7 linked regions of the Canis lupus familiaris genome follow. The protein of the gene in region 5 interacts with the protein of the main gene of each other region in a pairwise test. Links are inferred from orthologs where the notes say so. Each region holds a gene or a part of one and is shown on either strand. Other genes may lie near its edges. The genes, in order: STK16, AMMECR1, NUFIP2, PRPF31, EFEMP2, CCDC33 and ATXN1.

What was found.
Region 1: the proteins of EFEMP2 (region 5) and STK16 interact in binary tests that used the Homo sapiens proteins (3 or more experiments, as listed by UniProt). The two-hybrid records come from large-scale screens. The link is inferred for Canis lupus familiaris from reciprocal best matches to the Homo sapiens genes EFEMP2 and STK16.
Region 2: the proteins of EFEMP2 (region 5) and AMMECR1 interact in binary tests that used the Homo sapiens proteins (3 or more experiments, as listed by UniProt). The two-hybrid records come from large-scale screens. The link is inferred for Canis lupus familiaris from reciprocal best matches to the Homo sapiens genes EFEMP2 and AMMECR1.
Region 3: the proteins of EFEMP2 (region 5) and NUFIP2 interact in binary tests that used the Homo sapiens proteins (3 or more experiments, as listed by UniProt). The two-hybrid records come from large-scale screens. The link is inferred for Canis lupus familiaris from reciprocal best matches to the Homo sapiens genes EFEMP2 and NUFIP2.
Region 4: the proteins of EFEMP2 (region 5) and PRPF31 interact in binary tests that used the Homo sapiens proteins (3 or more experiments, as listed by UniProt). The two-hybrid records come from large-scale screens. The link is inferred for Canis lupus familiaris from reciprocal best matches to the Homo sapiens genes EFEMP2 and PRPF31.
Region 6: the proteins of EFEMP2 (region 5) and CCDC33 interact in a two-hybrid assay, tested with the Homo sapiens proteins (2 studies listed by BioGRID). The two-hybrid records come from large-scale screens. The link is inferred for Canis lupus familiaris from reciprocal best matches to the Homo sapiens genes EFEMP2 and CCDC33.
Region 7: the proteins of EFEMP2 (region 5) and ATXN1 interact in binary tests that used the Homo sapiens proteins (3 or more experiments, as listed by UniProt). The link is inferred for Canis lupus familiaris from reciprocal best matches to the Homo sapiens genes EFEMP2 and ATXN1.

Annotation. Positions count from the first base shown.
Region 1 is NC_049258.1:25,668,216-25,672,406, forward strand, and holds the start of STK16 (serine/threonine-protein kinase 16), read left to right. Parts: upstream 1-1,391; 5' UTR 1,392-1,486; intron 1,487-1,788; 5' UTR 1,789-1,892; coding exon 1,893-1,978; intron 1,979-2,567; exon of another isoform or gene 2,568-2,582; coding exon of another isoform or gene 2,583-2,591; intron 2,592-2,786; coding exon 2,787-3,006; intron 3,007-3,270; coding exon 3,271-3,404; intron 3,405-3,578; coding exon 3,579-3,699; intron 3,700-3,826; coding exon 3,827-3,922; intron 3,923-4,191. Other genes in the region: GLB1L (beta-galactosidase-1-like protein), read right to left, coding at 1-9. UniProt on the Homo sapiens protein: Membrane-associated protein kinase that phosphorylates on serine and threonine residues. In vitro substrates include DRG1, ENO1 and EIF4EBP1. Also autophosphorylates. May be involved in secretory vesicle trafficking or intracellular signaling.
Region 2 is NC_049260.1:84,112,699-84,116,198, reverse strand, and holds part of AMMECR1 (AMME syndrome candidate gene 1 protein), read left to right. Parts: intron 1-483; coding exon 484-594; intron 595-3,500.
Region 3 is NC_049230.1:43,359,261-43,362,760, reverse strand, and holds part of NUFIP2 (nuclear fragile X mental retardation-interacting protein 2), read left to right. Parts: intron 1-239; coding exon 240-272; intron 273-1,188; coding exon 1,189-1,280; intron 1,281-2,486; coding exon 2,487-2,501; coding exon of another isoform or gene 2,502-2,539; 3' UTR 2,540-3,500. UniProt on the Homo sapiens protein: Binds RNA.
Region 4 is NC_049222.1:103,832,247-103,835,746, reverse strand, and holds part of PRPF31 (U4/U6 small nuclear ribonucleoprotein Prp31), read left to right. Parts: coding exon 1-39; intron 40-992; coding exon 993-1,120; intron 1,121-1,200; coding exon 1,201-1,273; intron 1,274-1,736; coding exon 1,737-1,865; intron 1,866-1,960; coding exon 1,961-2,059; intron 2,060-3,402; coding exon 3,403-3,500. UniProt on the Homo sapiens protein: Involved in pre-mRNA splicing as component of the spliceosome. Required for the assembly of the U4/U5/U6 tri-snRNP complex, one of the building blocks of the spliceosome.
Region 5 is NC_049239.1:51,889,671-51,893,620, reverse strand, and holds the start of EFEMP2 (EGF-containing fibulin-like extracellular matrix protein 2), read right to left. Parts: upstream 2,801-3,950; 5' UTR 2,732-2,800; intron 1,925-2,731; 5' UTR 1,865-1,924; intron 1,538-1,864; 5' UTR 1,530-1,537; coding exon 1,419-1,529; intron 1,186-1,418; coding exon 1,137-1,185; intron 493-1,136; coding exon 286-492; intron 1-285. UniProt on the Homo sapiens protein: Plays a crucial role in elastic fiber formation in tissue, and in the formation of ultrastructural connections between elastic laminae and smooth muscle cells in the aorta, therefore participates in terminal differentiation and maturation of smooth muscle cell (SMC) and in the mechanical properties and wall integrity maintenance of the aorta.
Region 6 is NC_049251.1:37,823,362-37,827,372, reverse strand, and holds the start of CCDC33 (coiled-coil domain-containing protein 33), read right to left. Parts: upstream 2,801-4,011; 5' UTR 2,385-2,800; coding exon 2,364-2,384; intron 1-2,363.
Region 7 is NC_049256.1:16,756,517-16,759,127, reverse strand, and holds the end of ATXN1 (ataxin-1), read left to right. Parts: intron 1-1,488; coding exon 1,489-2,019; 3' UTR 2,020-2,111; downstream 2,112-2,611. UniProt on the Homo sapiens protein: Chromatin-binding factor that repress Notch signaling in the absence of Notch intracellular domain by acting as a CBF1 corepressor. Binds to the HEY promoter and might assist, along with NCOR2, RBPJ-mediated repression. Binds RNA in vitro.

The sequences.
Region 1 (4,191 bases), on a different chromosome or scaffold from region 5:
GGGAGCCATGGCGCTAACAGGGCTCCTCTATTCAGAGAGGGCGGTCCGGCTGTCACGTGGTGGATTCCTGGGAGGGAACCTCAGCGAGCAAGGGGGCGGAGACCACCTCAAGTCACCAGGCAATTAGCCTGGACTTGTCCACCCGCGCTACTCTACTAGTTTGTAAGATCCTCTACATCTTGAATCCGCTTCATCAGCATCACCTGGGAGCTTGTTAGAAATGCAGAGTCTCAGGTCCTACCTCAGACCTATTAGAATCAGAATTTGGATTTTAACAAGATTCCCAGGCGATCCGAAAGGCATTCAAGATTGAGAAGCACTGTGGTACTAAACTGAGCTCCCTGAGGGTGAAGAGTACCTTGTCCATCTTGCATCCTCAGCTTCTAGCACGGGACTCGGTACATAGCAGGTTAAATCTAGATGAATGAATGTCGGAACCAGGGGGCTAAAACAGGTTCGGAATCAATCTTCCCAGTGGTGTGAAAGTAGGAACCAAGTTATAAATGGGATTTTTTTTTTTTTCTCCTAGTGGCCCTGCTACAGCAAAAGAGACCACCTCAGCCATTCTGTCTTCTTTGGATGTCCACCGCTCTTCAATTTATCCCTGCCCTGCCTCAGCGAGAGCTGTCAAGAACAACTACCTGGGGCCAAGGCTTGGGAATTTATGAATTTCCATGACTCCTGCCTTCACAATCCCAAGCCTGGGATGTAAGGACCAGGATAAGAAAAATAGAATCATAATAAAAATAACAGCAACTTCTATTTATTGACACCAAGGCTGTGTCAGATAGTGTGCTAAGCACTTTACATCTCACTTCATCTTCAAAAAGCTCCGTGCAGTTGGTAATTATCACTCCCATTTTACCCATGAGGGAATTGAGAGGCAGAAATTTTAAATAGTCTGCTCAAGGTCACGCAGCTAGTTTAGCAGAGCTGGGAGCTGCAGCCTGGCCTCCCCGTACGGGCACCTAACCTTAGGTACTGTTAGAGCTTGTTTACAACTGGGGAAACCGAGGCTCTGAGAGGTTAAGTCGTCCAAGGTCACGCAGCTAGTAAGCTCTTAACCACTGAAACTAGGGTAGTGGGATGCAGGCCTGAGCCCCGAAGGGTGCACCGATCGGCGCTGTGGGGGTCCAGGCCGCCGGCCCCCGCCCGGCCCCCGCCCCTCGGGGCTGGACTGCAGCTTCCTACCTCCGGCATTGGGAGACGGGGGGCCTGGGGGGCCTCGGGCCGAGCCCGGCTTTGCTCCCCTTGGGCGCGGGTGCCTGCGTCCTGCCCACTACTGAAGGCCTGGTGTGGAACCCTCACCGGGTCCCGGGACCCGTGCTCCCCCGCGCCTTAGCCCGCCCCCGGCCTCTCAGCTCCGCGCCCCCACATCCTCCGGATGCCCTGCGGTTGCTAGGATACCGCGGGCCGTTACGCCGGCGCGGCCTGATGACGTAGACGCTCCTTCCGGTCCGCGGCGCTCGTCTCCGGCCGGAGCCAGGTCAGTGGGGAGTCGGGGCCGGCCCTCCCGGGGCTCTGCGCGCCGAGGCCGGGGCGGGCCCCGCCGGGTGGGCCCGGGCCTCGCCCCCACGCTCCGCGGCTGCCGAGGCGGCCCGACGGCGAGGACGCGGCCTGGGCGTCGCGGCGTGGCCCGAGGCTCCAGGGCACCCGACCTCGGCCGTGCCCGAGCCGGCGTCGCCAAGGCTCGTTTCCTCTGCGTTCCGAGGCCCGGGCGCCAGCTCTGCACGTCGGCACTTCGGGGGTCGTGCCTGGCCCACGACCCTGCCGTCCTTTGCCTTCCAGCATGATCCGCGGGGCCCCCAGCGCGTCGCCTGGAAGAGCCCCCTCAGCCCGCACGCGGCCGTCGGCAGCCCCGGACCGCCCCTGAGGAGGATGACTGAGGCGCTATGGGCCACGCGCTGTGTGTCTGCTCCCGGGGAACCGTCCTCATTGACAACAAGCGCTACCTCTTCATCCAGAAACTGGGGGAGGGGTGAGTGTTGAAATCGCCTAGCCAGCCCCCAGGGTTCTGGTGAGTGAAGGACAGCAGTCTGCACGTGATAGGGCCTCAGGAGGTTCATCCTTGTAAAGCATCCTTTAGCTCCCCTGACAGAGCCTAGCAACCCGAATGCCAAGAAAGTGGATTCTGGAGCCAGGCCTCCTGGCTCCACCTGGTGTGACCTTAAGCCGTGGTTTCATCATCTGCTTAATGGAGATAATCATCTTTTTTTTTTTTTTTTTAAGATTTTATTTATTAGAGACACACACACACGCACATGCACAGGCAGAGGGAGAAGCAGGCCCCATGCAGGGAGCCCGATGCGGGACTCGATCCTGGGTCTCCAGGGTCAGGCCCTGGGCTGAAGGCTGCGCTAAACCGCTGGGCCACCCGGGCTGCCCTGGAGATAATTATCTTTTGTCGCTGATGGAGTTGTGAGGATTAAATGAGATAGTGCATAGAAATCATCTCACCAAAAAGAGAAAAAATAATAATAATAATCTCACCCAGGGCCCGGTTCACAGCACTTGACAGATGTTGACTGTTACTTACTCATGTAACATTTCCGGAGCATTTGTCACGTGCAGAGCTGTGCATTATGACCAAGGTACCTCAAAGATTGCTGTGTTCCTACCCTTGAGCTCAAAGTGTAAAATCTTCAGACTTCTCCTGAAGCCACGTCTTGGGAGGGTTTCTGCTGACTGGGAAAGACACCCCCTCCCCTCCCCACCCAGGGAGTTCCTCTGGGTCCAAGCAGTGTGGGAGATGACCGTGGTCCTTCACTGACCCCTTTGGCCCACAGTGGGTTCAGCTATGTGGACCTAGTGGAGGGGTTACATGATGGACACTTCTACGCCCTGAAGCGGATCCTGTGTCACGAGCAGCAGGATCGGGAGGAAGCCCAACGAGAAGCAGACATGCATCGCCTCTTCCATCACCCCAACATCCTCCGCCTTGTGGCTTATTGTCTGAGGGAGCGGGGCACTAAACATGAGGCCTGGCTGCTGCTACCCTTCTTCAAGGTCAGAAAGTCTCCTGGCAATGGAGGGGCTTGCAACAGAGTCATCTACCGAGGGCTGTGTGAGTAGCCAAGCACGTTAGGAAGCAGAGACCATGTCCTGTGTTGGACCGCTTCAGATTTGGGGTTTAGGGGAACCCAAGTGGGACTGTGAGGTGTGTAGTGTGTGTGGTGAAAGAGCTGCTAGGCTGTGACACAGGGAAGGGATCAGGCTGAGGGAGCAGAGACCCAGAAAACCTGTCCAACCGTGGGGAAACTTGTGTTGCAGAGGGGTACGCTGTGGAACGAGATAGAAAGGCTGAAGGACAAAGGCAACTTCTTGACTGAAGATCAAATCCTTCAGCTGCTGCTGGGTATCTGCAGAGGCCTTGAGGCCATTCATGCCAGAGGTTATGCCCACAGGTCAGTGGGAGGGCCCAGTGTGCTTATGGGGCAGAAAGAAAGAGCCTCACCAAAAGGATTGAGTGGTCTCTGCTCTCCTCCCAAGGAACAGTCCCCATGATTCTTTTGCCCCCAGGGATTCTAGTCTCCCTATCCAGGGATGTTCATGGGCCATTTATTTCCACTTTCCTGCAGGGACCTGAAGCCCACCAATATCTTGCTTGGAGATGAGGGGCAGCCAGTTTTAATGGACTTGGGTTCCATGAATCAAGCTTGCATCCATGTGGAAGGCTCCCGCCAGGCTCTGGCCCTGCAGGTAAAAGAGTGTCCAGGTTCCTTTGCCCTCCTGTTCCCCATCCTCAGCCTTTCCTGTTGCATGCCCCAGTTTGGTCACATGACTATGACCTGTGCCTCTCTTTTGAGCTATGGGGCCACTCTTCCAGGACTGGGCAGCCCAGCGATGCACCATCTCCTACCGCGCCCCAGAGCTCTTCTCCGTGCAGAGCCACTGTGTCATTGATGAGCGGACTGATGTCTGGGTGAGGAGCATGTGGGGGGGCACATGGATGGGGAGGAGTACCGCTCTGTACCTGCTGTGCAGCAGAGGGGCAGGTCTTTGGTTTCGATTGCATGGGGCCCCAGGAACCGTGTATGTCCCCATCCCCCTCGACTTCCTTCCTGGGAACCGTCACTGACACTGTACTCAATTGCTCAGGAAGTGGTATCATTCCTCCCTTTGAACAGAATGAGTACAGCTAAGTGTCAGGACTGAAGGCAGTGGCAAGCAGGGGGTGCAGAAGCCTCCAGC
Region 2 (3,500 bases), on a different chromosome or scaffold from region 5:
CATAATACATAATATTCAGTATTTGTTGAAATTTGGGGGTTGGTTTTTTTTTTTTCTAAACTAGACTTAACAAATCAATCAATAACGTGAAGTTTAAATGAGGACTCAAGCTGTTGGGCCATGCTGGTTATGGCTTTGTCCAGGTTGTAGTTATTATTTCATTATATATTAACTGTGGGACTACCTCATCTGTAAAATAGGAATGTTTGTAATAGAATTACTCAGGCTCTTAGGGTTGTTGATGAGGATTAATATAATTTGTTTAAAACATTTATCATGCTGCCTAACATATAGAATACACTCAGTACATTCCAGATATAATTATTGTTAAATGCAGTCCCATTAGGCTAGACTCAGCCCCTTGGGGGCCTGTCATGTAGTCTTTATGTCTCAGGTACCTAACCATGCATATGATAAATATTCAATAAATAACTGTCTTGAGTTGAATTGATGGATTGACCTTATTTTTATCTCCCGTTACAGCCCACTGTTTGTAACATGGAAGATTGGTCGAGACAAAAGATTGCGTGGATGCATAGGTACTTTTTCTGCCATGAACTTGCATTCAGGACTCAGGGAGTACACACTTACCAGGTGAAGACCAATTTTTGTTACCTCTGCTTCTACGTTAAAAGAAAAAAAACTTATGAAACTTGAACCTGATACTTTAACTCCTTTGCTTTACTAAATTGTTAACATTCTTGACTCCTTTCACATCAGATTTTTCCTTCTCTTCAACATTTGCCTTATCCCTGGTAAAATTTTATTGCCACATTTTATCAAAATATAAAATACTGTAATTACATTGTATTTTGCCATAAATGTTTTAAAGTGTCTTCCTTCAAAGGCCAGCTTATTTTGTATAACTTGAAAATGGATGCCCAAAAGTCAATGGCTTACCACAATGTATTATTTCCTTAATAACACTGTGTCTTCTCTGTTAGGCTTTGTAAGAATTGTTGATGTCATCTTACATGTATTGTTGCACTTTTATGTACTCCTGCAATGGAGGGGAGAGCCTAGGAAGAAAGGGATGCCACAGCCTGGCAGTGTTATCATTCACATTCACACTTTACCCAGAATTAATTGTAGCTTACTTATTTTGTTTCGTCTAACACAAGGACAAAGTAATGAATGCCTCATTGCAGTTGTTAAGGCTTTGTTTTTAATTTCCAAACGCACAAAAAGCTATCGAGTATGCCATCTGATTTTTTTTTTTTTGGTTCAAGTTTAGATTTCTAGCAAATTATGTTCCAGAATTATTTCAAAAGAAGAAAATTCCTTAAATAATAAGCTATTAGTAAAGGAATTTCCTGTTTTTGTTCATATTTCAGGGTGATTATCTGATACAATTTCTATAGTTGTAATACGCACAAGTATCTGTCCAACAACAAATTGGTCCCTGCTGACTGTTGGTACTTGGGGCACATTGCTTAACCTCCAACAGATAAAGTAGTAATTACAGGGTTTTGTTCTATATACTTAGTAGGGATGTTAGGGAGGTGTTAGGGGAATGAAATAATATCCAGTCACTACTTTGCTTCTGGAGTAACATTGCAGAACATTCATTATTTTATTATAGGATTGTATAAATGCAGCTTGTGGTAGCAGTTAATAAAATATTGGTAACTGAGTTTAGTATTCTTTTTTTTGAGTTTAGTATTCTTATATTTGAAGGTACAGCTCACAACTACAGGGTTTTCTTAGCTTACAGTGAAATTGGAAAGAAAAGCAAAGGCTTGGAGGGTCACCCTCACTTTTTATATTTGCACAGGCATTAGAATTGAGTGTTTGGACTTGATTAAGAACATACAGGCAGTAAAAAGATCAAAACACGAATTCTAGAAATGACTTGAACTTGCCAAAGATAGCGTAAATGCTAGTCTAAGCAAGTTAGATTTTTTTTTCCTGACATGAAATACCATGGACTCATTTTGGGACTTTAGCAAATTCTGCCAGAGACTACCTCTTTGGGACAAGTACATACAAAATTACTTTTTTAATATATAATCAAAGGCAATTTATTACACATTTCCTAAAATAAGTTGTTATGAGGAACACTGGCTCCTTGGTTATTGCTTGGAAAAAAAGGATTCTATAGCCAAATAAAATTGGGGAACATTGGTTAAGCAAATTTAAGCAGCTGTGCTCACTGCAGGACTTCTCAGAACCTTTTACGTCAATAGTGTTGTGAGTCTCTGAGTGAGATCTAGAATGCAGCATTTCCCAATTCAACTCTTTTGACCACAGAACCCTTTTATCCTCCCACTCCATTCATTGTCTTAGGCCATTAGTATCCCAAGGAATACATTTTTAGAAATATAAGTCTGTCATAAAATTTCCATTTTTCTTTATAGTTGAAAAGTCCAAGTGGATAGTACAGAAACCCTTTGTACTTTCTAATGAAATTGTGGCAGAAATCCCAGTATCAAATGTTATATACTTTAGAAATCCTTAGTAGTAGTGACTGTAGTAAGAGTTTGGTTTTGTTTAAAGAAAAGATGAAATCTTTACCTACACTGATAAGAAGGGATGAAAATATTCAACTTTTCCGGACTTGTGGATCTGTCTCCTAGGGGTATTACCAGAAGAATTTTAGTATTTTTCTGACAATAATGTGACTCTGAATGAAACATTCAAATAGCTCAGCTTGGAAATTTGCCTGCATTTGTATATATGGTTACCTTCATTGTAATCTATGGTCTTCCTGTTTATTTTTCAACTTTCTTCTCATGTTTTTATACAACTTCCTGAAATGGTGTATGGCACAGTAGATATGTGTGTTCATGTGTGTGTATACACATGTACATACCTTGACTTTTTTTTTAAGATTTTATTTATTTATTCATGAGAGAGACAGAGAGGCAGAGACACAGGCAGAGGGAGAAGCAGGCTCCATACAGGGAGCCCAACGCGGGACTCGATCCTGCGACTCCAGGATCACGCCCTGGGCCGAAGGCAGGAGCTAAACTGCTGAGCACCCAGGGATCCCCCTTGTCTTTTTGCTTCTGTTTGGCTTAATTCCTTTTGCTTATATAGCAATAAGAATGTAGTTATTTGGAAGAGATGAACAAAAGAAAACACATCTTACAATATTACAATTGCTCTTTTTTTCTAGATTCAGCTTAGAGTCAAAACTGTGGAGTCATCTTTAAAAAAGTTGCAGCATAATATCTTTCAGCTAAATAGGAGGCACTTATCATTTCTACAAGGTGCTGTTGATGGTATTATTGATAGCTGTCATTTATTAAAACATGCAAAGTAAAAACTTTGTTGAAACTTCAGAGGAGCTTTATATGCATGTTACTTACAACTCAGGTATTAATGCCACATTTTAAAAATGAGGAAACTGCAGTTTACAGAATTTAAGTAATTTATCCACTTACACATCTAGTAAGTGGTAGAACCAGGATTCAAACCTAGGCCATCTGACTATAAAGTCCAAGCTCTTAATTACAACATTCAAGATAAGACAATGTAAGTTTTTCTGAGAAATTGTG
Region 3 (3,500 bases), on a different chromosome or scaffold from region 5:
CATGAGAGACAGAGAGAGAGGTACAGAGACACAGGCAGAGGGAGAAGCAGGCCCCATGCAGGGAGCCCGACATGGGACTCGATTCCGGGTCTCCAGGATCAGGCCCTGGGCTGAAGGCGGCGCTAAACTGCTGAGCCACCGGGCCTGCCCGATTTTTTTTAGGTTTAAAGTGAAAAGTGTAGCTTTAAATTTTGCTCTGTAAAACTTAGCATATAAATTTTTTTTTTTTTCCTTTGCAGAAATGGAATCTGTTTGGAATTTGCAGAAGCAAGGTAAGAATGGTTAGGTTACCTAAAATGTTAGTACTAATGACTAGTGTATGTTTGGGTGGGAATAATCTAGTGTTATTTCACTAAGTGACTAGGCTTTGTATTTTGAATTATTTAATAAATGCAGTTAAAAGACATGGCTGCTATACCAGGATTGCTAAAGATGGAGTAACACTGTAAGTGAAAAGAGTATATGAAAATAGTCTTCACCTTCTAGGTGAAGAACATGAATTTTTTCCCCTCTGATGATGAAAGTAAGACAGAACATAAATACTTTTAATATAGGAAACCAGCATAAATGTTTCCACTTATAGTCAGTCTTTATCTGTATTTGTGGTAGACAAGTGGTAGCCTGAACTGAAATAGTTCAGAAAAATATTAGCTTTTTTTTTATTATTATTATTAGCTATTTTAGACTAGCCTCATTTGTGCTTCAAAGTAATAGATGGTTAAAAATCTAAAGAGCAAAGTAGCTTCCTTCACGAACCACATGTATAAGACATGAATAGTAGGAAGGCGGAGGGACTGAATGATCCACATCTGAATTGTTAAGAATTTTCAAAAAATTTACATTGCTTATCCTCATTATTGTGTGCTTTTCCAAATATATTAAAATGCAGTAGCTGTGGAATACCCGAAATAAAGTTAAGTGTCAGTCTCGAGAAATAGTCACTAATAGAATTGGGCTTTTAGAATCCTGACTGAATTGCATCCATTTCCATCCACTTTGCTAGCTAATACAAGTGAGAGAGGTCACTGTGTAGCTAGCAAGTGGCAAAATTAAATGTAGGTTTCCTTGGGGGCGCCTGGCTGGCTCACTTGGAAGAACAGGAGACTCTTGATCGGGGTTGTGAATTAGAGCCCCACATAGGGTATAGAGATTACTTTAAAAATAAAATCTTTTTTTTTTTTTTTAAAGTAGGTTTCCCTGATTTCCCAGCATTGCTCCTCCTTCCATCTCCCTTGTACTTAGGGCAGGTCTTACTTGTCCAACACAGCTGTGGTCTGAAGGTAACTAGCAAGATCTTATTTTGAGTTTCTTTCTGTGTGCCTTATTCAAAGGAAAATGAAAAAAAGGTAGACTAGAAAATAATATCTGCAAAAGTAGACATCCCTATATTTACTGTAAAATGGTTATTAACTATTTAGAATGAGCATTATCTTCATAGCAGGTTGTTATAGGGTGGCTATTGTAGTCCTAGAAAGGATATTATCTCTGCACTAAATTAGATTGACTCAGGCTGAGGTGAGCTTGAGATCTTTATTACTATTTTTAGGCCTTTATACTTTTCCATTAAGTGACAAGTTTTATTAGTTTCCTATTTTTTATTAAAAGCATGTTTTTTTTTTTTTTAAGTTCTTATGATAGGTAGAAATGGTACATAATAAAATTACTGCCTCTCTTGAAGAAGGAAGCATATAGCTAAATAATTGGGATTTAGAGTAACATTGGAATCTTTATTTATACATGTTGCTGAGAAATGGGAAATTTGGAGGAAGGAAGAAATATGTCATGATTAGGACTGAACTTCCAGTTCTGGCCAAACTTAACCTGAAGTGTTTGGTGCTAGATGTCACTTGAACAGTTCCTTACTAGACATTCCACACAGGTTAAATTAAATTTTGACTTCATTTTATTGAAAAGAACAAAAAAAAAAAAGTCCAAGTATTTGTTTTAGTATTGAATTATTGACAATTTAATAAGGCTTTTATAATTGGGAGAAACACATAAACCCTTGTCACTTGTCAACTGAACTCAACCCCTTTCTAATCCATAGGAGTTGAAGCCCTCACTGGCTAGAGAACCCTGTTCTGGAAATCCTTTGGGATGTCAAACTATTGGGTTGTGGAAAAGTAGATCATTTATGTATTAATACAAAGAAGTCTTTATTTTTTAATTTTTTAGGGGTAGAGGACAGAGGAAGAGAGAGAGAATCCTAAGCATGCTTCACACCCATTACAGAGCCCAACATGGAGCCCAATGCAGGGCTTGATTTCAACCCTGACATGACCTGAGACAAAATTGAGTTAGGTAGAACCTGACACTTAACTAACTGAGCCACCCAGGCGCCCCAAAGAAGTGGTCTTTAATTTGTGTTTATATAAAAGGAGCCAACTAAAATGATGATGGTTATTTGAGATTTGTTATTTGGAATATGGGCATTTTGGCATTTCAGATCTCAGTTTTATTTATGTATTTTTTAACCTTCTCCCCAGATCCCAAAAGGATAATCACTTACAATGAAGCCATGGATAGTCCAGATCAATGAAGGACCAGACTGCCTATTTGTAACCTTTCTGCAGCATTAGAGCCACCGTTCATGGGGGACACAAGGCTTTTATGCTCCTAGATCTTCAACGCAGCAGAGGAACCATAAGTAGAATCACAGGATAATATATACAAATATATATATATACATATATATATATAGTTATTTAAAAAAAAAAGGCAACTGAAAGTAATTAGACTTCTTAAGGAATCAAATTTATTTCAAGAGACTACACATGGTTATTTAATCTCCGGTACTGAATAGTTTTTTTTTTTTTTCTTTTTTCTTTTGTTAATTTTTGTTTTTAAGTGTGAATGCAAGTGATTAATGAATACAGACTTATTAACAAGCGTGGTTCTAAAGTTCCTGCTGTCATCAACTTGGGCAAGAAATGACCCACTGGAAAGGCAAATCCACTTTTAAAAGATCTGTATCTTGTTCTGTGACTAAAGTGATACACTAATCACGGGGAACCCAGAATGATTCAACATTTTCCCCCCACTCCTCCCTTGATCTTTTGGTTATACTTTGAGCCCTGCGAGAATGCTGGATAAATGCCTTGAAGTTTGCAGGGGTGTATTTTTTTAGCGAATATGATTTGCATGTCTTGCCAGGAGTTAAGCAGCCTCTGTGGGGTGTTGGGGAAATTCTTTCTTTCTTTTCCTTTTATTTTTTGTGGGGTGGGCTTAGGGGAGGGCATTGAAGTTCTATAATTCTGGAATAGTTGATGGTACATAGTTCACTTGGCTTTGGTTACATGGACTTTAACAAGTGAAGAATCCATGAATGTCATTTGAAGAAAAGTTACAGAACAAACAATTGGCTTTAGAGATTTAATATGAAAAAATATTCCTTTGCCCATATTTTAATGTAATTGTATAAGTGGGAGCAAAAATATATTCTGCTTTTCAACTGTAGGTGCTCCAGACTTGCTCTCTGTCACTAACACTAAATGTGCTGT
Region 4 (3,500 bases), on a different chromosome or scaffold from region 5:
GCCCGTGTGGACAGCTTCCACGAGAGCACAGAAGGGAAGGTGAGGCACAGCAGGCATCTGTGTGGGTCTGTCTCCTCTACCAGACTTGTCATTGTTCAGGTCATCACTGAGTTTACCTCTATCTCTCTTGGCAGACTTGCTCCATGAAAGTGGGTATATCTTGTCTTGTGCAGTCTGGCACAGTGTCCAGGCTTCAGTCTCTTTCTCTCACTGCCCCCCACTTTTCCTCTTGACCACTGGTTGAGGTTCCAGTGGGGACAGCAGTGAGCACTCCGACCAAAGCCATGCCCCTGTGGCATTCATGTTCTGGCTGGGGGCGGGGTGAGGACACGGGCCATCTGTGGTGTGTCCAGGGATGCCACATAAATGCTAGGGTGGGATCAAAGGGTGCTGGGCTGGTGAGGGAGGTTGAGTTTAACCCGGACGTTGGGGAGGGCTTTGCTGCAAAGGTGAAGGTCTAATCTGCACCCAAGTGAAGTTGGTGCAAGTGAAGCAAGTTGGTGAAGTGAAGCAAGTCAAGTGAGTGCCTGGGGGAAGAGTCCTAGGAAGGAGAAGCAGCCAGTGCAATGGCCCTGAGCCTGGCCCACAGGAAGCCAGGGAGAGGAGGCTGTGGGATGGGACAGGTCACGCAGAGCCTGTGTGCCCCAGAGAGACCTTGGCTGTAGCAGAGATGCTGAGGGGTGCGATTTGGGGTCTTAACTGAAGGAAAAGCCCAGAGGGAGAGAAGCCAGAGGTGAGGCTCCCAAGTGACCTCCCTTTACCAACTTGTGCAGGCCGGAGCTGGAGGCTGGGGAAGAGGTGCAGGTGTGCGGTTTGGCCCTGTTGCACTCGGGGGCTGCCCTCCTTCTCCCCCATCAAGGACAGAATTATATGAGGGGTGCTGGGAGAAGTCTGAGTCTCCCAAGAAACACAGGCCCCCCAGGCCTGGGAACAGGTGCCACACACAGGTAGAGGGATGGGCAAGGCTCAATGGGACCCCCTGCCCTCCCCAGGTGGGATATGAGCTGAAGGATGAAATCGAGCGCAAGTTTGACAAATGGCAGGAGCCGCCGCCCGTGAAGCAGGTGAAGCCCCTGCCTGCACCCCTGGACGGGCAGCGCAAGAAGCGAGGTGGCCGCAGGTAGGCCCTGAGGGCCAGTGGGGGTGAAGAGGAGGGGAAGGGGCTTGTGACCCCAGCTGACCCCTGGCGCCCCTCCCCAGGTACCGCAAGATGAAGGAGCGGCTAGGGCTGACCGAGATCCGGAAGCAGGCCAACCGCATGAGCTTCGGAGAGGTCAAAGCCTTAGTCTGGATGTCCCCACCACATTTCTTCTCGGCTGAGGCAGCACCTCACCTCCAGCCTCCCCCCACATCCATGTACCCTGAAGGGACCTATGCAGCATTCAGTGTTGGCCCTGTCCCCCGACCCCCACCCTTTTGTACACACCTCCCTGTCGGGTTGGATCTGCCCAGGGAGGGTCCTTCCTCAGGCTTCACCTCTGCCAGACTCATTACCCAAGCATCATCCTCATGGTCCTGCAAGAACCAGCTCAAACACCCTCTAGTCAGCAAGCCCAGTTTTGGTTGTTGACACTGCATACATGAACACTCACAGCTTCCCTCAACTGTCAGCTCAGGGAGCCGTAATAGGACTGGACTCCTCACTGGGCCCCAGCAGGCACCTGAATCGGGTCAGTGCCTGGGGCATCCGGCTGATGAAAGATGGCTAACTCTTGGTTACCTTCCCCTCCCACCAGATCGAGGAAGACGCCTACCAAGAGGACCTGGGCTTCAGCCTGGGCCATCTGGGCAAATCAGGCAGCGGGCGGGTACGGCAGACACAGGTGAACGAGGCCACCAAAGCCAGGATCTCTAAGACACTGCAGGTACAGGCGGGGCCTGAGTGGGCCTGGGAGTCTGGGAGCTCCAGCAGGAGAGCCCAAGCCAAGCCCAAACATCCTGTCCCCTCCCCTCCACACAGCGGACCCTGCAGAAGCAGAGTGTCGTGTATGGCGGGAAGTCCACCATCCGTGACCGCTCCTCGGGGACTGCTTCCAGTGTGGCTTTCACCCCTTTGCAGGTACTGTGCACCTGAGTCAGGAGGCCCAGTTCTGGGCAGGCTCTACTCCCAGCTTTCTGAGTGGACCTGGGCAAGCCCCTTCCTCTCGCAGGGCTGTTGTGGACAGCCTTGTGTATCAGTGAAGCCCCTGAAAGGTACAGCTCAGTTCCTGGTGCTCAGGCTAGTGGGAGCAGAAGGGAAAAGGTCTGCCTGCAAGTGCAGGCTGGCTTTAGGATCGGGCTGGGACTAGGGGTGACTACTGATTCCCCATGACCTCAAGTGGGCTCAGCTCCTCCCTGAGGTGCTAAGTGGCTGGGACAACCTCAGGGCTCCACGGAAGAAAACTCAAAGGTAGCTGGCTGGGAAGCAGAGGTCCCAGCCCAGCCACTCATGCACAGGACAGAGCCTCTGCATCTGTCCATTTCTCAGCCTACCCACAGATAGCGCCAGCACGCCCCATAGCATCGAGTAGAATAACTGAGTTCATTGGCAACATCAGCAAGGGTGTACTGAGCACCTAAGTTTCAGGTGCTGTTGCAGGCACTGGGGATAGAGCCACAAGCACAAGACAGCAAGCCTTGCCCTCAGGGAGCTTGTGGGGTGGCAGGGGTCAGATAAGATATGGAGCCTGGTGGAAAGTGGAAAGTGCAGGGAAGAAAGGGGAGAGGGAGTGAGGCATCGGGTTGGACCCGCCCAGGGAGGCCTCAGCAAGAAGGTCAGAATTACCTGTGGAAGATACTGGGAATGGTGCCAGCCAGTGTGGAGCCCCCACAGCTGGACGCCGTGTCACCAGTAGGCTTGGTGTAATTTGCACGAGGGCCAGAGGTGAGCCACTTAGCTCTGTGACTCAGTTTCCTTATTCAGGAACCAAACCCGGTCAGCTGTTCTGAAACATTGATTTTTTTTTTTTAAGATTTTTATTTATTTATTTATTCATGAGAGACATACAGAGAGAGAGAGACAGAGACACAGGCAGAGGGAGAAGCAGGCTCCATGCAGGAGGCCTGATGTGGGACCCCATCCCGGGTCTCCAGGATCATCAGGCCCTGGGCTGAAGGCGGCGCTAAACTGCTGAGCCACCTGGGCTGCCCAACATTGATGCTTTTAAAATTGCTTAGAGAACTTGATAAAAATTCAGATGCCCAGGTCCTCCCCACTCTTCCCTCTTCCCAGAGCCACAGTTAGAATCTCCCCAGGTTTGGGGTGGGGGCAATTTGGTAATTGGAAAACTGTTCTATCACCTGGAGCCCGGAACCATTGAAAAGGGCCTCCCCGACATGTCACAATTCTCTTACTGGGTAAGGGGGCCTTGTCAGGGGCCAGCCCATCTCCCCACCCCATCATTACCTCATTCACCTGCCCAGGGCCTAGAGATTGTGAACCCACAAGCAGCTGAGAAGAAGGTGGCTGAAGCCAACCAGAAGTATTTCTCCAGCATGGCCGAGTTCCTCAAGGTCAAGGG
Region 5 (3,950 bases):
GGGAAGTGGGTAGAGGGCAGAAGCTAAGAGGCAGAGCTCTTGCCTGCCCTTGCAGTGTGTCTCTAGCAGCTGAGAGGGGGATCCAGATGCTGGCTAGAGCACTGAGACCAGAGCTGGGGCCACCTGTGGCAGGCACCTCACAGAGTGAGGATCTGGATGGCAATCCCAATAGCTCTGAAGAGGCTTTTGAGCAAGAGAGCAATTGAGGTCCGAGTTTTTAAGTTGCAGTGATAGATGCTTAGTAGGTGGACTGAAAGCCCTAGTGCCAAGGTGACCCTCACTCACCCACACAGCGCTCTTGCTCGTCAGGTTCATAGCCTGGTAGGCAGGGGTTGGGGTATTCAGCAGGGGGCACTGGTGGTGGTGGTCCCTCGCCATGCAGATCATTGATGACAGCGGCTGAGCGGGGCAGGCACAAGTAGCCCCCATAGTGGTTGATGCATTTCATCTCTCCCTTGCAGGCCTCGGGGATGGTCAGGCACTCGTTGACATCTGCAGAGAGGGGTCTGCTGGGCACAGCCGGTCTCCTGGGCTGGCTGTGAAGTGGGTGGCAGGTGGGAGCCCAGCCCGGCCTTCTATAAGCTGTGTGACCCAGGCAGGGCCTCCTCTCTCGACTCAACAAGCTAAGGTTCCCTGCTCAGAACCCCTCCTCAAGGCCTGCCTGGGCAAATGGTGGGGCAGGGGGCTATTCCCATAGTCAGCCCCATTCTCTTGTCCCCAAGAGGCTCTCTACCCCTCCCCATAGCCTGGGCCCTGGCTCAGCCCAAGAGTGACGGGCAGGCCTCCCTACCCACCCCGCAGACACTGTCCTCCCAGGACGTGATGGGGCAAAGCCAGACGGGAGAGTAGTTCGAGGTATCCAAGACCCAGCTCCTCTGGGCAGTGCCCTGCTGCTCTCCTGCCCACTGAGTGGTGGGGACAGGATGTCCCGGGCTTCTCTGAGAGGGAGGGGCCTGCATGGCTTCTCCACCCCTAGCTGAGCTGGCCCCCAGAGAATCAGAGCTGGCCTCCGCCAAGCCAAGCTGGGCAGAGGACAGGTCATCGGGCTCCCTGATGCTGCTCTTGGAGCTGAGCTTGCAATCCCTTTCCCAGTTCCTGGGGGTGGGTCAGTTCCCCAGTTCCCTGGGCACACTCACCCCGGCAGTGCTGGCTGTCGGGGTCCCACTCATAGCCATCTGTGCATTCCTACAAAGGGACCAGAGATGACCAGTAGTCATCCCCAGTCCCCTTCAGATGACCAGGCCAAGATCAGGGCCTGAGTCTGGCCACCCTCCCAGCCTGCTCCAAACAATGGCCCCCAGCTGCTTCCTACACCAATCAGGGGAGGGGACAATCTCCCCCAGCAGCAGCCACCCCAGGATCCTGATCTCTGTGTCCCAACCCAGCCCGGCCCAGGCCAGTGGCCCCACTGTCCCCACCGTGTAGCTGTCGGGCTCCTCCGAATCCTGGGGAGACGCTGCTCCCAAAAGCAACAGCAGCAGCGCCCAGAGCAGTAGAGACCCGGGGAGGCAGGAGGCGAAGGGGAGCATCCTGGGGGCTGGGAGGTGGCGGAGGGGTAGTGGAGGGAAGGGGGGTCAGGGCGCTTCCGCCACGCACCCCCACCCCCATTCCCTGTACCAGAACTCAGAACCCTGGCCCCAGCCGCCCCCCGCTCCGTACCGTGCCTGGGGCCCCGGAGCTTCCCAGGACCCAGGGCCCACTCCACCCTCAGGCCGGGGTTCGGGGCCCACCCGCCCGGGGCCGCCCCGCCCCCGCCCGGTCCCCCAGTGGCGCGGGCCGAGGAGCGCGGGCCTCTCGGCTCTGCGCTGACGCCGACTCGGCCGAGACTCCGGCTCGCGCCCTCCCCACACCGACCGCCACTCACTTGAGCCCGTGACGCCCCCGCGGCCCGCGTCTCCGGCGGCTCGGCTGGTTCGGGCAGTGCCTGCGGGCAGACGGACGGGCGGACGGCGCAGCTCCCTGGACGCGCGGCCCCAGGAAGCGCCCCCCGCTCGCCCGCCCGCCGCGGCGCGGCCCACCCCGGCGCCTCCGCCCGCCCCTCGGCGGATTCCTGAGCCCGCGCCAGGGGGAGGGACCCCGACCCCCCGCTTCTCCGCCCCCGGCCAGCCACAGGCCCCCACCCGGTCCCCCGCGGCGCTGCCCGGAGCCGCCTCCTGGCGCAGGGCCAGGGTCCCCCTAGATCCCCATCCCGGGTGTATGGCCTTGATGTCAGGCCCCCAAACTCACCCGAGAGCCTCTGGGCCCTCACTTTGTGCACCCCACTATGTCACCCTGCGCACCTGGACCCTACAAATCTGGGCTCCTGGAATTCCGCCCTGCGCACCCACAAATTAACGCCTGGGCCTTCACACTCTGCGCCTCCCAGAATGTCATCCTCGGTTCCTGGACCCCATCTAATCCTGGGGCTTCCAGACCCTCGCTCTATGCCCTGCAGACCTTTACTCTGTGCACCTTGTACAGTCATACTGGGAACACCAAAATTTCATTCGGGGGCCCCAGACCCTCGCCCGAGGACGAGACGCTCCCAGGCCCAGAACAGTTCAGGTGCGCCCCTTCTCTCCTCCATCCCTAGGGCTGTCAGCCGCAGGTGGTCCCTCCTCTCCTGGACGGCCTCCTCCCAACAATCGTTCTGCGAAACCACAACGGTTTGGGAGCGGGGTCTGCAGTTGCCTTTTGGCCCAGAATGAATGGAAGCCCCTGAGAAGGCAGGCAGGGCTGAACTGGCGCGTACCGGACGCCAGGGTCGGGTGCCAGTGCCCCAGCCGCTCTCCTTCCCAACGCGTCCCCACCCCCAACCTCGGGGTTCCAGCCTCCTTTCGGGAGCCGAGGGCGAGGGCGCGCCTTTCGGGGAGGAGATTGGGCGGAGTTGGCTCCCAGGAAGGGGCGGGGCCTCCTCCTGCCCACGTTTCAGGGCGGGACCAGACGGGAAAAGGCCGCGTGTCCAGGGATCTCCCGCCGGGGGGCAGACGAAGTGCGGGAATCGCTGAGCCCTCCCTTCCCCTTCCCACCCGGGGTTTAGCCTCACGATCGCCCCCAGTGCAGCCCCGCCCAGGGGGAGGGTGTGCTGACGGGGGCAAATGGGTCCGCAGGTCAGCCCTTGGGGTTCAAGGTGACTTGGAGAGTGCACCCCTCCACCCCCCAGATCCTTCACATCCACGGGGGCGAGGATGCTAAAAAGAATAGCTCTTCTAAACCAAAAAGACAGGCATTAACAAGTGTTGGTGAGGAAATGGAGAAATTGGAATCTTCCTGCACTGCAGGTGGGAATTTAAGATGGTCCTCTTTGGGAAACGGTGTGGCAGGACCTCAGAATGTTACATGACCCAGAAATTTCACCCCCATGTACATGCCCAAGGGAATTGAAAACATGTCCATACAAAAAGACCTATACACAACATTCATAGCAATGTTATTCATAAGATCCAAAATGTAGAAACAATCTAATGTTCATTAATTGATGAATGGATAAACAAAATGTGGTAATATGATGAAATGTCACTCAGTCATAAAAAGGAAGTACTGATGTGTGTGCTAAAACCAAGGAAGAATCTTGAAAGTATTACCCTAAGTGAAAGAAGCCAGACATACATCCTCATATTCCACTAATACGACACATCTAGAATTAGGCAAATCTAGGAGACAAATTCATGTTTGCCAAGGGAAGGGGGGACTGCTGACATGGTTTCTTTTGGGGGTATGAAAATATTCTGAAATCAGATGGTGGTGATGATTACTCAGTTAAGCAAGTACACTAAAACCATTGAATTATATAAAGTTTTTTTAAAAATTTATTTATTCAAGTAATCTCTACACCCAGTATAGGGCTCGAACTTATAACCTCAAGATCAAGAGTCCTGTGCTCTTCTGACTGAACCAGCCAGGCATCCAGTGAATTGTATATATATATTTTAAGATTTTATTTATTTGAGAGAGAGAGGCAGAGACACAGG
Region 6 (4,011 bases), on a different chromosome or scaffold from region 5:
CTCACTTTCCCTCCTGGTCAGTGGGGATGTCTGGGATGGTTGTAATTCAGTCTTCCCTGTAACCGGCCTATGGTTCCTGCGGTGAGGCCAGGAGAGATGACTAATGTCTCTCCGATGGCCCGATTCCCAGGAGCAGCCTAAGAGGGTGGCCCCATCCCCCTTGTTGCTGTGTGGTACGGGGCCTGTCCCCAGCTCCCTGGGGCCCCAGAAGTGAGGGCCCAGCAGCACGGCAGCTGCCCAAGGGCTCTCACTGACTCTGGTAGCCCCGGAGCCCAATCAGTGATTTTGCAGACCGGGCCCATGAATTGCGGCCCCCTCTCTGTCCCCTACTTGCTCTGGGACAGCCTTCTGGGAAATCAAGCTTCCGGGGCGGGTGGGGGGGGAATTGATGGAAACTGCTGGGGCTTCACTTCTGGGCAGGCGGCCAGCTGCCAGGCTGGCACCTCCTGGTGAGGCCTGCAGGCATGTGCCCGCTGGGCTGGCTGGGCCCAGAGCCAGGGAGGCCAGGACCTAAGTGTGAGGCCTGGAGTGGGGGCCGTGAGCCAACCTCCCTGCCTCCCCTTCCTCCGTCTGGATGAGGATCTGCAGGCTTCCCTCCGAGAGGCGCCTGCATCAGGACAAATGCTCCCTCCCACCCCTGCTTCAGTTTTGCAGCTGTGTCATAAGGTTTTGGGTTAAAAAATGATCCTGCGTGTTCCTTCTAGTTTCAGCATCTAAACTTCCTTGGGGATTGTGATGGCCACAACCTAGGTGGGGAAACGGGCTCAGGGAGGCAAAAGCACTTGCATCTGGGCGCTCGGCTCAGCTCGCAGACGTCCCTGCTCTGCTCTCTGGATGTGCTGAGCTTTCTATGGGCCACAACGTATATGCCCTTGGGCTCCTGATCCGGGGAGCCCCGTGCTTGTTAGTGGGAGCAGTAGGAGTTGTGCTATTCAGGGAGAAGAGGCTTTTCCGAAGATGACACAAAAGTCACAACTCATAAAGGGAAGGACTGACGCTTTGATTCCACTAAATATCCATGCCAACTTCTGTGATAACCACCAATTCACCACGATACGAAGGAAAGACAAACAGGAGAAAATATTTGCAATATGTATAAAAGAATGAATTTCCTTACTACACAGAGAGCACTGACGTCTAAGATCTATGGAAGATTCACGCAAGAAGAAATGTGACTGTGCGCTACCGTGTACGTGATATGCACGTCCTTACAGGGCATTGTACTCAGTCATTGAAAATGTTCCACTAAGTTATGGATTAAATGAAACAAATCTGTGTCCTTCTCAGGGCTCCCATGCATGCTCCTCAGATCCCCAAATCCAGCTCAGGTGGGCAGGTGGGAATGAGCGTCAGGACCAGCTGGCCACTTAGCGCCCCTGACATTTAGAAAGGAGCTGAAAGGGGGAGGGTGGAGTCAAGGGGAGGAGGCAGCTGTAGGGAGAGAACGCCAGGAACCACAGACACCAAAGTCAAGGGTAATAAAGTAGAAACCACAGTGGGGCACGTAGATTATTTGGTTTGAGTCTAACTGCAAAGAGGCTATTCCAAGTTAGCAAGTACCTGGTGCCTTTGGTCTCAGCTCACTCTGCCCTCCCTGTTGGTACTTGGCACAGTCAAGGGCCTTGGCTCTGCCTTGACAGTCAGCAGAGGGTAAGGAGAAGCCTCATACTAAACTGTTTGCATTTTTAAAAAAGATTTATTCATTTTTTAAAACTGTTTGCATTTCACGGCACTGGGATCTTCGTTCCCTCCTGGCAGGGTCTCGCTGCTCTGTTCCTGCTATTTATTAAGCACCTACTATGTGTCAGGTGCTGTGCTGAGTGTTGGGGATGCAGCAGTGATCAAAACTGACCAGAATCCCTTCTTTCTAGGAGTTGAGCATCTGTGGCCTGGGGCAAGGGTCTGAGCCAGGGCTGGAGGGGCATAAGATAGTGGAGCTTTGGGCAGCAGCCTGGGAATCTCCTCGATCTTGGAGGGTGATGGGGAGCCATCTCAGTGGGGTCTCGGAGCCTCCGTGACAATGGGGCAAAAACTCCTTTCCAGGCTGTTGGTAGGGGAAGGTACCAGTTCAAGCTACATTTTTCCCTGGGTCATGGGGATACCAGGCAGAGACAACGAAGTAAGGGTGGCGGGGGCTGACAACACCTGCAAGCATGCCGAATTTCAGATCCCATGTGGCCCAGGAGTCTAGCATGCCTAACTTGGAAGCATCGCAGAGACCTCCTTGCTCTCCATTTCGCAGCTGAGAACACTGAGACCCAGAGAAGGGAAGCTTTGGTCGTGATTTAGAAGCAAATACAACAAGGGACTTTGAAGGAGAAATGAACTCATGCAAGCGCAGGACCCATGCCCTCAGGCCTCACCTTTTTCTTTTTCCGTCCCATCTCTTCAGGGGCAGGAGTGTTTGACCTTGTTTACAGATCTTGGGGACCAGTACCTGATATCCGTGGGCAATCAGGCATCAGTCCTGTCCAGGCAGCTGGCCTGAGCACCTTGGAGCCTTTGGGCTTGGTGTACCGTAAGGAGCGTCAGTGTTGTCTCAGGGGTGCCATACACGGGCTCTGGGACCTGGACAGGGTAACAGGCAGGGGGACCCGCGGGGCCGGGGAGGAGGGCAGCCTGGAGCTTTCTCAGTAGCGAGACATTCTTTAAGTGCAGTTGGCTTCAGGCCTCTGGGCCATGACCAGCTCCATAGGGTCAGCGGCTGAACCAATTGGCTCTCGGTACCCCCAGGAAGGTAAAGACAGGGGTTTGCCTCTCTCCAGGCCTGGAAAAGCTATGAGCTCTTCCCCCCGGCAGGATCACCTGGGCAACGCTGTGTGACATCACAGGGCAGAGCACAAGTCCCCCAGGTAGAGTCCAGGTGGAGTGGGGTGGGGGCTCAGAAGCCCTTCTCCATGTTTTGGGAGCTGGGTTTTGCCTGCATTGTGGCCCTCACTCCTCACCCTCCCTGCTCTTTGTACCCCGAACTGCACGTCCACCAGGATTCACCAGTGGCCCAGCCCGGTGGTGGAGGCTGAGACCCTGCTCGCAGGAAGTTACAACTTGGCTAACAGCTATTTCGGTTAAGGAATCTGCAGCCGTCCTGCCTCTTTGGGTGCCCGTAGTCTCTCATTTGTTGAATAATCATAAACACAACGTTGGAGAAAATGGTTTCATTTGGAGGCTGAGTGGGAAGGTGGCAGAGAGAACGGGGATCAAGGAGGTATGTTATCGTAACGCCGCTTACATCGGCCAGTTAATGGGTGTTCATCATATCATCAAAAATAAATTATAAATAACTGAAGAGAGCCAACAATGTTCTGGGGGATGGACCCAGTATTATGACTAGTCCAATTCTGAGCTCCGTAAGGAATTATTACAAAGATAACCGTTCTTTTTACGTAGCACTTACTATGTGCCAGGCACGGTTCCAAGTGCTTTTCTGTGCAGGGAGAGGCCAGAATGAGGGGTGGCTGGCCCCTGGCCTGGGGTGAGGTCGGCTCCACGGAGATGCTAGGCAGCATGGCCAGGAATCCTGGGCTAGGAAACGTGAGATCTGGGGTACTAGGTGGGGTTGACAGGCATCTGGAAGACTCCTGTGGCCTGCCTCGTTCTCTGGCCAGCGGTTTTAGACTCCATACTGTTTTTTTTTTTTTTTTAAGATTTTATTTATTTATTCATGAGAGATCCAGAGAGAGAGGCAGAGACACAGGCAGGGAGAGAAGCAGGCTCCATGCAGGGAGCCCGATGTGGGACTCGATCTGCCATGATCCCAGGTCTCCAGGATCATGCCCTGGGCTGAAGGCAGAGGCTCAACCACTGAGCTCCCCCAGGCGTCCCCATACTAAGTGTTCTTTGCATTGTCCTGGGCCTGGGGACCAAAAGCAGGCCCACTCTGGCAGCAAGAGGTAGGAGCTATGGCTTTGTGGAGGACTGCTCCTTCCCCCGGCAGCCCTAGTCTAGAGAAAGGCAAGGAGGATGTGGCCCTCCCCAGTTTCAAGACAGAAAAACTAGGCCTCACCTCCCATT
Region 7 (2,611 bases), on a different chromosome or scaffold from region 5:
TACTTCATTGTTCTTTTTCTTTTTTATATAGCATAAAGTTGAAGAAAATAAATTTCTATGAAAATTAAACTGTTAGAACCTCAAGTGCATTTCAACCTAATTCAATGGCAACGGTAGGGCTTTCACTGGACACTATCTCCTTGCCTATGCTCACCTATCTCCGCTTCCAAGAGTGGGTTCCCATTGCAACCGCACCTGTACTCCACCCCCGTTATGTTTGAAAACTCAGCACAGTGTATCCTCATCCAAGAAAACTCCCTTAATCACCTCTTCTTCAAACTGGTCTGTGCCTTTCCTCTGCCCTCCAACAACCTGATACTGGTATTAAAGTATTATAACCCCACTCACCGTGTTGATTGGCAATTATGTTCATGTGTCTCTTTTGGCCACCGATTGTGAGCTACTTTGGGACTAGGACTAGGGCTGGCTTTTTCCGTTTATTTCCTTAGCACAATACACAGGTTGCACATGATGATAGAGAAGAGAGCAACCTATTGAGAGGATATTGAGCTTCCCCACTTTTGGTATTTATCTTCAAACAAATGCACGGGCTGATTTGAGTACCTGGTGCTTGACCTTGGATGGGCCAACTACTTGAGCTCTCTGTGTCCTAAATTTTATCATCTCCCCAACATTGTCCACCCCTCAAACCTCTCCAAATGCTGCCCAGCCCTCAGCTCGGGTAAACAGGGAAGCCCTCTCTGTTTACTGTGTCTGCTCCTTTCGATTCTTGAGTACACACTCATTTACCCAATAAATATTTATTAAGCTTCCACCATATGCCAGGTGCCCTTTTAGGGGCCAGGGATATAGCGATAAACAGGTAAGGGCTGCCTTCCGGAGCTTGTATACAGTCTCACTCTGATCCCTAATTATACAAGAATAGCATTTGTCCAGCGAGCTGATAAAAGTGCAAGACTTTTATCTTGTGCTCTCGCTTGAGTCCCCTGCAGAGCCTAGCTTAGTACTAAACACCAAGTACCTGTTCTGGCGTCCTTGGGGACCGATCCATTTGTTTTTAATTTTATTTATTTATTCATGAGAGACACAGACAGAGAGGCACAGATATAGACAGAGGGAGAAGCAAGCTCCCTGCTGGGAGCCCGCTGTAGGACTTGATCCCAGGACCCCAGGGATCACGACCTGAGCCAGAGAGGCTGATGCTCAACCCCTGAGCCACCCAGGTGGCCCTGGATCCATTTGTCTTAAAGGAGGCCGGCTAGAGAGCCCATAGTTAGTGAAATGATATTCTGAACACTAAGTGGACTTTTACTGGCTTCCCCCCAACACCCATATACGGTTAAGTACTGGTGCAACCAAAAATTAAGAGCCTCCTTTGTGTGTGTTGGTGGATGAGGTTTGTGGAAGGAAGTCTTATTTTTTTTTCCTCCTCATTTTGCTTATGCCCAGGCGGCAGGCAGTGTAAGACATAAAACAAGAATAAAGCATCCTCCTCATCCTCCTTCCTCTCTGTCTCTGTTTCCACAGGTCAGCGTGGAGGTTTTGGTAGAGTACCCTTTTTTTGTGTTTGGACAGGGCTGGTCATCTTGCTGTCCAGAGAGAACCAGCCAGCTCTTCGACCTGCCGTGCTCCAAGCTCTCCGTTGGGGACGTCTGCATCTCGCTGACCCTCAAGAACCTGAGGAACGGCTCTGTTAAGAAGGGCCCGCCCGTGGATCCCGCCAGCGTCCTGCTGAAGCACTCAAAGAGCGACGGCCTGGCAGGCAGCAGACACAGGTACGCCGAGCAGGAGAACGGCATCAACCAGGGAAGTGCCCAGATGCTGGCCGAGAATGGCGAACTCAAGTTTCCAGAAAAAATAGGATTGCCTGCAGCGCCCTTGCTCACCAAAATAGAACCCAGCAAGCCCGCAGCAACGAGGAAGAGGAGGTGGTCGGCCCCGGAGACCCGCAAACTGGAGAAGTCGGAAGACGAGCCACCTTTGACTCTTCCTAAGCCTTCTCTAATTCCTCAGGAGGTTAAGATTTGCATTGAAGGCCGGTCTAACGTAGGCAAGTAGAGGCAGCGCGGGGAAAGGAAACTCGGCTCCCCCTTCTCATTTGTATCCAGATTACTGTACTGTAGGCTAAATAACACAGTATTTACATGTTACCCTCCTTAGGTTTCTGTTATAACCTTGTCATTAGAGTTACAGCCGGTGTCGCGCAGGAGACTGGTGCACGCGCTTTCCCACGAGGGCCTGGCCCGGCCGTGAGCGCGGCAGGTGCAGGTGGAGGGGGCCGGGCGCGCAGCCCAGGAAGCCCCCGCCGCTCGCCCCGAGGATGCTCGGAGGGCGGGGGAGCTGCAGGGGGGCGGGGGGGGGGCTCGCGTGGGCTCCCGCGTGGGCGCGTGCACGCGGGGAGGGGGGCACAGGTGCACGGCCGCCGAGGCTCTCCGTCCTTCCCTCGGCCTCCCCCTGCCCCCCTGCCTCTTGCCCTCCGCCCGGGACTGGAGGCCCCAGGGGGAGCATCCTCGTGAGGTCCTCCTCCCGTGCAAAGCCGACATCAGGAACCCCGCTCGCCGCAGGGCATGCTAGAGAGGCATCAGACAGCCCGTGGAAAGCTCCCCGTGTAAAAGAACCTTCTTTTTTTTTTTCCTTCCTCCAACATATT